2 linked regions of the Rattus norvegicus genome follow. The protein of the gene in region 1 purifies or fractionates together with the protein of each later gene. This does not show direct contact. Links are inferred from orthologs where the notes say so. Each region holds a gene or a part of one and is shown on either strand. Other genes may lie near its edges.

Region 1 (3,812 bases):
CCCACAGGCATTACTGTATTCCATAGTCAAAAAATTTTAATACTGACATGGAAAACATATTTTAAGGCTCACATTGAACTTTGAGACATGAAAACTAGGGAAAGTTGGATGTTTACATGAATACTACAGTTTTCAGTACTTAGAATTAAATTAGTGATTGACTAAATATTGTTAACTTGCCCATTTCCCCCAAAATAATCCATGGTTTCCTGCAACCAAAGCAGGAATCCCAATAAACTTGTTTTGGAAATTCATGAAAATGTCTGACTTCACCTTGAGAATAAAAAAGGCTTATATGCATGAAAGTGGCAAAAGTATTTAATCTACTCTGTGCAGTATAAAATTAGTAATTAATGATATAGGAATGACACAAATATGCTATATAGACCCCTGAGAACATCTTATGTAGTAAAGGTAGCAATTGCAGTTTAGTGATGAAAGGGTATATCATCCAACAATTTATATTGTGGTGTAACTGGCTTATTTCTGGAGAAAGGGTCTTTTCTTCTACCTACACTACAGGAATTGAATATTTAAATGTTTCTGAAAGGGAGAAGTCAACTTTCAAGTGCTGGACCAGAATAATGATAAATTCTCTTTGCATGGGAAATAACGTCCTAAGTATAATGCAAGGGGAATGTGTACAACAGGTAATCCGTTATCAGTCAGTGTGAATTCTAAGCACATTGTTAGAAACAACCATTCTGTAACAAAGTTAATGTAATTGTGTGTATCCTGTAAGGAGAGGGTCCCCGGAAAAGCCCTTGGGTAACCCAGGTTCTGCTGCTGCTTTTCATGTTGAAGACAGATATTTTAATGGGTTACCAAGAAACGCAGTAGAAAATGAAGTTAGGGTCACATGTTGTGCTCATACATACCTATAGGCAAAACACTCATGCACATAAAATAAATACACAAAGTTTAAAAGTGAAGTTTATACAAGCTTTTATTAATAAGGCCAACAGATGCAGTTATGTCAAATTATGAAGGGTTCTAAAGCTTTAAATGCCTATGTTGCTGAGTATTTCTTTTAGAATTTGTTTTGAAATAAAATTTAGTACATACAGATGTATCACAGTTACCACAGTATTATGTCAGTTGGGAAGTGTGCAGAGAAGCTTAACTGTTAAGGCAGCGCAGAGGTGAGAAGTTGGCATTTCCATCAAAGGCATGTTATGCTGCTATCTTTTAAGTTTTTAAGATTGAGGCACCAGGCTGGCAAAATGGTTTATTAGGTAAAGGCGCCATGTCAGGAAGCCTGACTACCTAAATTTGTTCCCCAGGACCTACATGGTGCAAGGAGTGAATTGTAAGTGGTTCTCAGACCTCTGCTTGTAAACTGTGCCTATGGGAACCCACACATACACACAAGTGCATCAGTCATTCAGTTGCTTAGCCAGCATCAGAGAAGCGTCCTCTGGAGTGTGAGGAAGGGAGATAAACTACAGAGACCAGATAAACTACAGAGACCCACGGCCACATGTTATGCAGAAGTTAGAGTGCTTGGAAGACTCAGACCCGAATGGTTATCTGCATCAAAACCTTTAGCCCAGGAAACCCTGCTGAGGCAGACACCAAGGAAACAGGCCCTCGAGATCAAATGAACTCACCTCTTATGAACTCACAGAGAGTGAAGCGTCATGCCCAGGTCCTGCATGGTCTGCGCCTGGCCTGTGTATATTCTGGCTCTAGTTTTAGTGCTGGTTGGTTTTTTTAAGTGGGATTTCTGAATATCCAAAGGAGTGGGTCTCTGACTCCTCCTTGTGCCTTTTCCTGCGCTCTTTTCCTTGTTTGTTTGAAGCCAGTTTGTTTCCCAGTGCTAATGGAGAGGGAGTGAGATACAAAAGAGGGGAGGAACTGGAAGGAGTAGAGGGAGGGGAAACCAGAACCAGGATTATTGTTCAGATTACGTGAACAATAACCTAGTAAAAGATTTTTTTTAAAAGGATGAATGAAAAGAGTTGAATTTCAAGTTACAAATATCATGTCAAAGTGTTTCCAACAAAGTCTTTAACTTATCTTTTTAACTCTTCAGATTATAATTTGATTACCATATTTCTCTCTTCCTTTCTTCCTTCCACACCCTCCCATAGGTGTGTGCTGTCCCTGCTCTCCTTCAAAGTCAGGGTCTCGAGTGCTTTCCCAGTTGTTACTGCATGCACATGTATATACATAAATATGCCTAAATAAAACCTGTACAGTCCCTTACGAAAAAGAACAGAAGTGCTACATGCATTTTTATTTTTAGTGTTTATGCTTTTTAAAAATTGTTTATCTTTTTCAGTACTGCTTGAGATTTCAAGAATTTTGAATACCGGTTTAGATATGGAAACGCTGTCTATTTGTGTACGGCTTTGTGAACAAGGAATCAACCCAGAAGCCTTATCATCTGTTATTAAGGAGCTGCGCAAGGGTACAGAAGCACTCAAGGTTAGATTTGCATGTTAGTTTGTTATAAATAAAAAGACTATATCTAGAAGCAACTAACAAGTTGTGTGAAAAATCTCTTCTAATGCTATCAGGAGAAAGTCTCAAGACCAGAAGGTGAATGTTCAGACCAGAAAAATTATTGATACACCATGATATCGAAATTTCTCACTATTTTTAGAATTTTTCTGCGTTGACTAGAATTGAGCCTAGTGCCCAATGTTAAGTTCAAGTTCTAATCCTTGGTACCAATGAATCTAACCATATTTGAAAATAGTATCTGTGTGGTCTCTGATTTTTAAACCCAATACAAAAAAGTAGACCAAATATATTTACAGAGTAAATATTGATTTAGAGATACAGAAGGGGCTGGGGAGATGGCTCAGTAAAGTCTCTGAGATGCAAACATGATTTTGATCTCCAGCATCCAATAGGAGTCCGGGTTCAGGAATGTTTCCTGGAGCTGGGGGTGGGGGTGGGGGTGGGACTGGGGGTGGGGGTGGGGGTGGGACTGGGGGTGGGGGTGGAGTCCCGGGGGCTTGCTGGCCAGTTAGTGTAGACCAGTCAGTACAGTCTTCTCTTTGGTAAACCAAGCTGGAAGGCGACTGGAAGACCCGGTGCTGACTGCAGACACACGTGCGCAAACAGAGAGAGCCGTCCATAACCACGGCTGTCACTGCCAGCACTGTAGGAATCCCTCTTCCTCCACAGTCCCCCTTCTCACTTCCCTCCCAGCATCCTGAGTTCTAAAGTAGACATTCATCAGTCTCACTGACTGAGCCAGACGTCTAACAAGTTTACGCTTCATTTAAACAGAATCTTACACTTTCCACTGGGTTCTTCCCTTTCCTGTTAGGTCTACAGTGTTCATTTATGTACATCATACATAAATGTGTACGGTGTCATGTGTCCTTTCGTGCAAATGCATTTCCTTCCACAAATACACAGCAGTGTACCTCTCTGTGCAGAGTGGATGCTGAGTTGTGCTACTGCGAGCCTTATTTAGCATTATTGTAGCTCCTGTCTCTTCATGCTTATACGTGTGCAGTGTTTAGCCATGTACCTAGGCATAAAACGCCTGGGCTGTGGGATGTGTGTCACCATCCTGACAGATCATCCAGCCAAGCTCTCCCAGAACAGGTGTCTTTATTTGTACCTTACCACCTCACACCTTTGCCTTTGCTTCATGTTTGTCAGCGGTCATCCCTGGGAGCCTTAATTTCAGCCATTTCTCGTTAAGGAGCATGGGTGGGACCTTTTTTTTTTTTAATTGCACTTCTGAGTATTTCATACAGTTTTGCCCAGCCTTTTTTAAAATTTACTTGCCTTCTTTGTCATCTTTTTAAAAACTCAGTTTATAGCTGTCACAGCAGGATGTAAAAAAC
Region 2 (4,521 bases), on another chromosome or scaffold:
GTCTGCATTCTAAAAACTGCTTTAATAAACATCGGTTTCTTTTTTCCTGGATGTTCTGCCTGGACAAGCACTACGAACGGGAGAAAGCTGGTATCTGAGGTCAGGAAAGAAGCATTACCAAAAACCGATGACAGTGGCCTGAAGTTCACTGTTGGAACATTTGCCCAGCATACACAAGGTCGCCTGTTCTAGCTCCAGAACTCCAACATACATACATACATACATACATACATACGCACACACACACACTTTTGCTTTTTCAGGTAATTCAAGATAGTCTTATCTCTTTTGGTTGTAGAGGCCTCAGTACACGTGTCAGTTCCCTTGGAATTTGATCAGTATTATGGTTATTAATAAACCCAAACTATGGTTGGTAGACTCGATGAGGGCCAAACCCCACTCCCAGGTGGTTTCATTATTCAATGAATGAAACGCACACTTTAACATAAAGCCACTTGTCCAGCTAAAGGGACTCCACGGTTCTCAGATACCCTCAAACCCCTTGAGCCTTAAACCATGGCTAAGGTCTTCCTAATTTCTTGGGAGAAGAGTTGCAAACCTAAGTGGCTCTGAAACAAATGAAATCTCATCAGCGTTCTGTAATTCTTTTTCTTCTTAATACCATCTACTTTTCTTTCAAGCTGAAACTCCATACCGACTTCACCAACTTGACTGGGTGAGACAGTATCTAACATGCTAATCCATGATAACCGGCTCAAGCTTGTTTTCCTCCTACACCCCTGGGTACCATTTTTCAAGTCCTGCTGCCTCTCTTCCCACCCTAAGTTAAAATCTCTGGGAATCACACTGGGACAAGCAAGAGAAACGGAGGAAATAAGTCTCAAAGTGAAATCGCTTTCTCTAGCTAACAAGAGGCACTCTGGCTTACTGCGAGCGACTTGGGATGTTACCAGAAGCTCGTGGAGAGTGTCCGGGGCGAGAGTGGGGGCGCGGGGAAAGCGGGGAAGACCGGGGAAGATCGGGAAGGCACTGCGAGCACCCGGGGTGCCAAAGCCTGGAGGCGGACGTGATGTAGGGGAAAGTGAAGCATCATAAGGCAAGTTTAAGAAGCAGTCAGGGCAGCGAAAGAAAACAGGGCAGGGCAGGTGAGAGATAGATCCCCCCAGAGCAACCTGATGAATTCCCGCCTAGTAGGGTCAGCGAGGGTCCAGGTCTCTCACCAGAACGCCGCGTTCAGCCCCAGGCACCACAGGGCGCTCCTGGCCGGCCGCTCCCACACCAGGGCTGCCTGAACCCGGCTCAGCAGAGGCTCGTAAGGCCCCAGCACCTCTACCAGGGCTCGCTGCGCCGCCTCAACCTGCTGGTCGCGCTCCCAGGAGCCGGACATAGCTCGGCGGCCCCTGAAAGCCAACCCCGAAGATGGACCCGGGGCCGCGGCCACCCCTTCAGCCTCCTCCATCTCCCCTCCAGCAGCCACAACATCCGGGGCCACGGCCCGGCAGTCACAATAACACCAACTGCGCAGAAGCGCGATTTAGCTGCGGCCGGGAGGGGAAGGAGAGGGAGTTGCTAAGCCTGTTCGTCCCACGCGCGCGTGCGCATAAACTCCTGTGCGCATTCTCCGGACGGAAGAGAATGTTGCGTCAAAATACGTTCCGGGCGCTGAGCGCGATTCGGAGCCGCGCACGCGCAACCTGCACTACTGAAGCCCAATGAAGGAGGAAATTCCATCTGCGGAGCTTAGCTCCCATTGGAGCGGGGAAAGATCAGGGGTGGAGCGCATTGCCTAGCGCCTGCGTCTTGCGGGCGAGCGCGCTAGCGGTCGGCGGCGTTGCTGGCGGGAGAGACTGCAACGCCTATGTCTGAGGAGCGATGCCGAGAGAAATCATCACCCTACAGTTGGGCCAGTGCGGCAATCAGAGTGAGCGAACCTCCAGACCCTCTGCCTGCCAGGTTCCTTAGGTGCAGTAGGGCCTCGCAATAAGGTCGTAGATTCGGTCTGTCCTCAGAATCCTAGTTCTCCCCGACAAAGGCGTCCTCCAACCCTGTACCCAACTGCCCAAAGCCTATGAACCTTCCCTTGTCCAGTTGCTGGCCTAGACACTAGGAAGTCCCAAGGATAATCTTGATCCCTAGACTCAGGCGTTCAATCCCCCACTGGCTATTTGGAACCTACCCAGACCCACGTATCCTTTTTCTTCTCCTCCCGCCTCCCTCTCTTAGTTGGGTTCGAGTTCTGGAAACAGCTATGTGCTGAGCATGGCATCAGCCCCGAGGGCATCGTAGAGGAGTTCGCCACCGAGGGCACTGACCGCAAGGACGTCTTTTTCTACCAGGTGCCCCCTCCCCCGAACCCACCCCAGTGACTTGCCAGGTCCCTGGGGACATGAAGGTACTGGTGGCGACCTGGTACTGGGAAAGTCACTGGGCAGATGGGAACAGAATGGCTGTCTTGAGGGAGGGCCTGCCGAAACCAGAGTTGGGGGACTCAGGACTTGACTCATCCTAGCTCCCTGGGCCAATCCTGGCTTTCCCTTTGACAGGCAGACGATGAGCATTACATCCCCCGGGCTGTGCTGCTGGACCTGGAGCCCCGGGTGATCCATTCCATCCTCAACTCCTCCTATGCCAAGCTCTACAACCCAGAGAACATCTACCTGTCCGAGCATGGAGGAGGGGCTGGCAACAACTGGGCCAGCGGATTCTCCCAGGTCATTACTGTTCTCCTGCAGGGCTCTCAACTCCTTGGGTGGGCACAGACCCTGTGGTTTTTCTACAGATGAAACTAGGTCAGAGGAGCATGAGTGCTGAAGCAAGATAGCCTTGGCTTCAGGAGCTAACTGCAAGGCTAAGAACCTATTCTAGCTAGTCCCTTGTTGCAGGCCATTTAAGTACTTTATATGTTAGCTTTGCAAACCTCTGACTAACCCTAGATGTAGGCGCTGTGAGTTTATATTTTATCTACTTTTTCAGACTCAAAAAAACCTGAAACCAAAGATATTTCAGACTTCGCTTAGCAAAACCAAAAATCAATAGGGAAAGCTACATTGATGTTTCTAGTCAATGCACTGTCATCAGACGTCTCACTGCAGAAATATTAGCATATCTGATAGCACATCTCAGACCTCCACCGTTGTATGGGTAGTATTGTTTATTTTGTAGCTTCTAGGAATGTGTTGAACATCACACACTAGACAAACTTACACTGCTGAGCTAGACATCACATCCCCAGCCTTCACGTGGTCTTTTTGTTAAATCCGAATATTTATTTCTTTATTTTGAGAGGGTTTCTCTGCGTAGCCCTGGCTGTCCTGGAACTCACTGTGTAGGCCAGGCTGACCCCAAGCACACAAAGATCCACCTGCCTCTGCCTCCCAGATGCTGAGATTAAAGTGTGCACCATCACTGCCCAGCTGATATGCAGTTTACATTTGTATATACAAAGCTACCTTTCGGAACCAGAAGTATTTTGATTTCTTTTTTTTTTTTTTCTTTTTTCTTTTTTTCGGAGCTGGGGACCAAACCCAGGGCCTTGCGCTTGCTAGGCAAACGCTCTACCACTGAGCTAAATCCCCAATCCCTGATTTCTAAAAATAGCTGGCACCATGAATATTACATGATGGAGTGTGGACCTCTGTTTACCTTTATTTTATAAATGAGGAAACTGAAATAGATCCCTCTTCCTGAAGTCACATGACTAGGTGACTTCAATTGGTAGAAAGAATGCTTTTCTAGGATGTATGAAGCCGCGGCTTCAGTCCTTAACACTGCATAAAACTGGGCAGCCTGGGGGCTGGGGATTTAGCTCAGTGGTAGAGCGCTTGCCTAGGAAGCGCAAGGCCCTGGGTTCGGTCCCCAGCTCCGAAAAAAAGAACAAAAAAAAAAAAAAAAAAAAAAACTGGGCAGCCTGATACTTACTGGAGGTGAAGCAGAAGAGCCAGTATGTGAGGGTTATCCTCAGCTAAACAGAGAATTAGATGCCAGCCTTGGCTACATGAAACTCTGTCTCCCAAAAAAAAAAAAAGAGAGAGAGAGAGAGAGAGAGAGAGAGAGAGAAAGAAAGTAGAGCCCTTGCTAGCATAAGCAAGGTCCTACCCGGGCTCCAGCAGTTCAAACCTGAGTGTGAACAGATCAGCTTGGTTGGGTTGTAAATTACTTGCCTGTAACCACTGTTGTAGTACCTCTCAGTGCAAAGCAAGGCAGCTATGATGCATGTAAGACTCAAGGGCAGAGGGCTGGACAGACAGCTCAGCAGTTTAGAGCACAGAGGTCCTGAGTTCAATTCCTAGCAACCACATGGTTTCTTACAACCATCTGTAATGGGATCTGATGCCCTCTTCTGAGTGGTGCTGTCTCTTGTCATATAGGCATACATATAGAGTACTCATATACATATGCGTGTGTGTGTGTGTGTGTGTGTATAAATAATCAATGGTGGGTACACTGAGGTCAAGGTCAATTCCTGTCCCACCTCACCCTCTTCCATATCTGTCCAGGGAGAAAAAATCCACGAGGACATTTTTGACATCATTGATCGGGAGGCAGATGGCAGTGACAGCC

What was found.
Region 2: the proteins of Mzt1 (region 1) and Tubg1 purify together in Homo sapiens (affinity purification with mass spectrometry; 4 studies listed by BioGRID and IntAct, counting the BioPlex papers as one, with this or other methods). This does not show direct contact. The link is inferred for Rattus norvegicus from reciprocal best matches to the Homo sapiens genes MZT1 and TUBG1.

The regions. Positions count from the first base shown.
Region 1 is NC_086033.1:82,198,879-82,202,690, reverse strand, and holds part of Mzt1 (mitotic-spindle organizing protein 1), read left to right. Parts: intron 1-2,284; coding exon 2,285-2,430; intron 2,431-3,812. UniProt on the Homo sapiens protein: Required for the recruitment and the assembly of the gamma-tubulin ring complex (gTuRC) at the centrosome.
Region 2 is NC_086028.1:86,551,423-86,555,943, forward strand, and holds the start of Tubg1 (tubulin gamma-1 chain), read left to right. Parts: upstream 1-1,720; 5' UTR 1,721-1,833; coding exon 1,834-1,882; intron 1,883-2,184; coding exon 2,185-2,297; intron 2,298-2,504; coding exon 2,505-2,672; intron 2,673-4,457; coding exon 4,458-4,521. Other genes in the region: Retreg3 (reticulophagy regulator 3), read right to left, coding at 1,182-1,420. UniProt on the Homo sapiens protein: Tubulin is the major constituent of microtubules, protein filaments consisting of alpha- and beta-tubulin heterodimers. Gamma-tubulin is a key component of the gamma-tubulin ring complex (gTuRC) which mediates microtubule nucleation.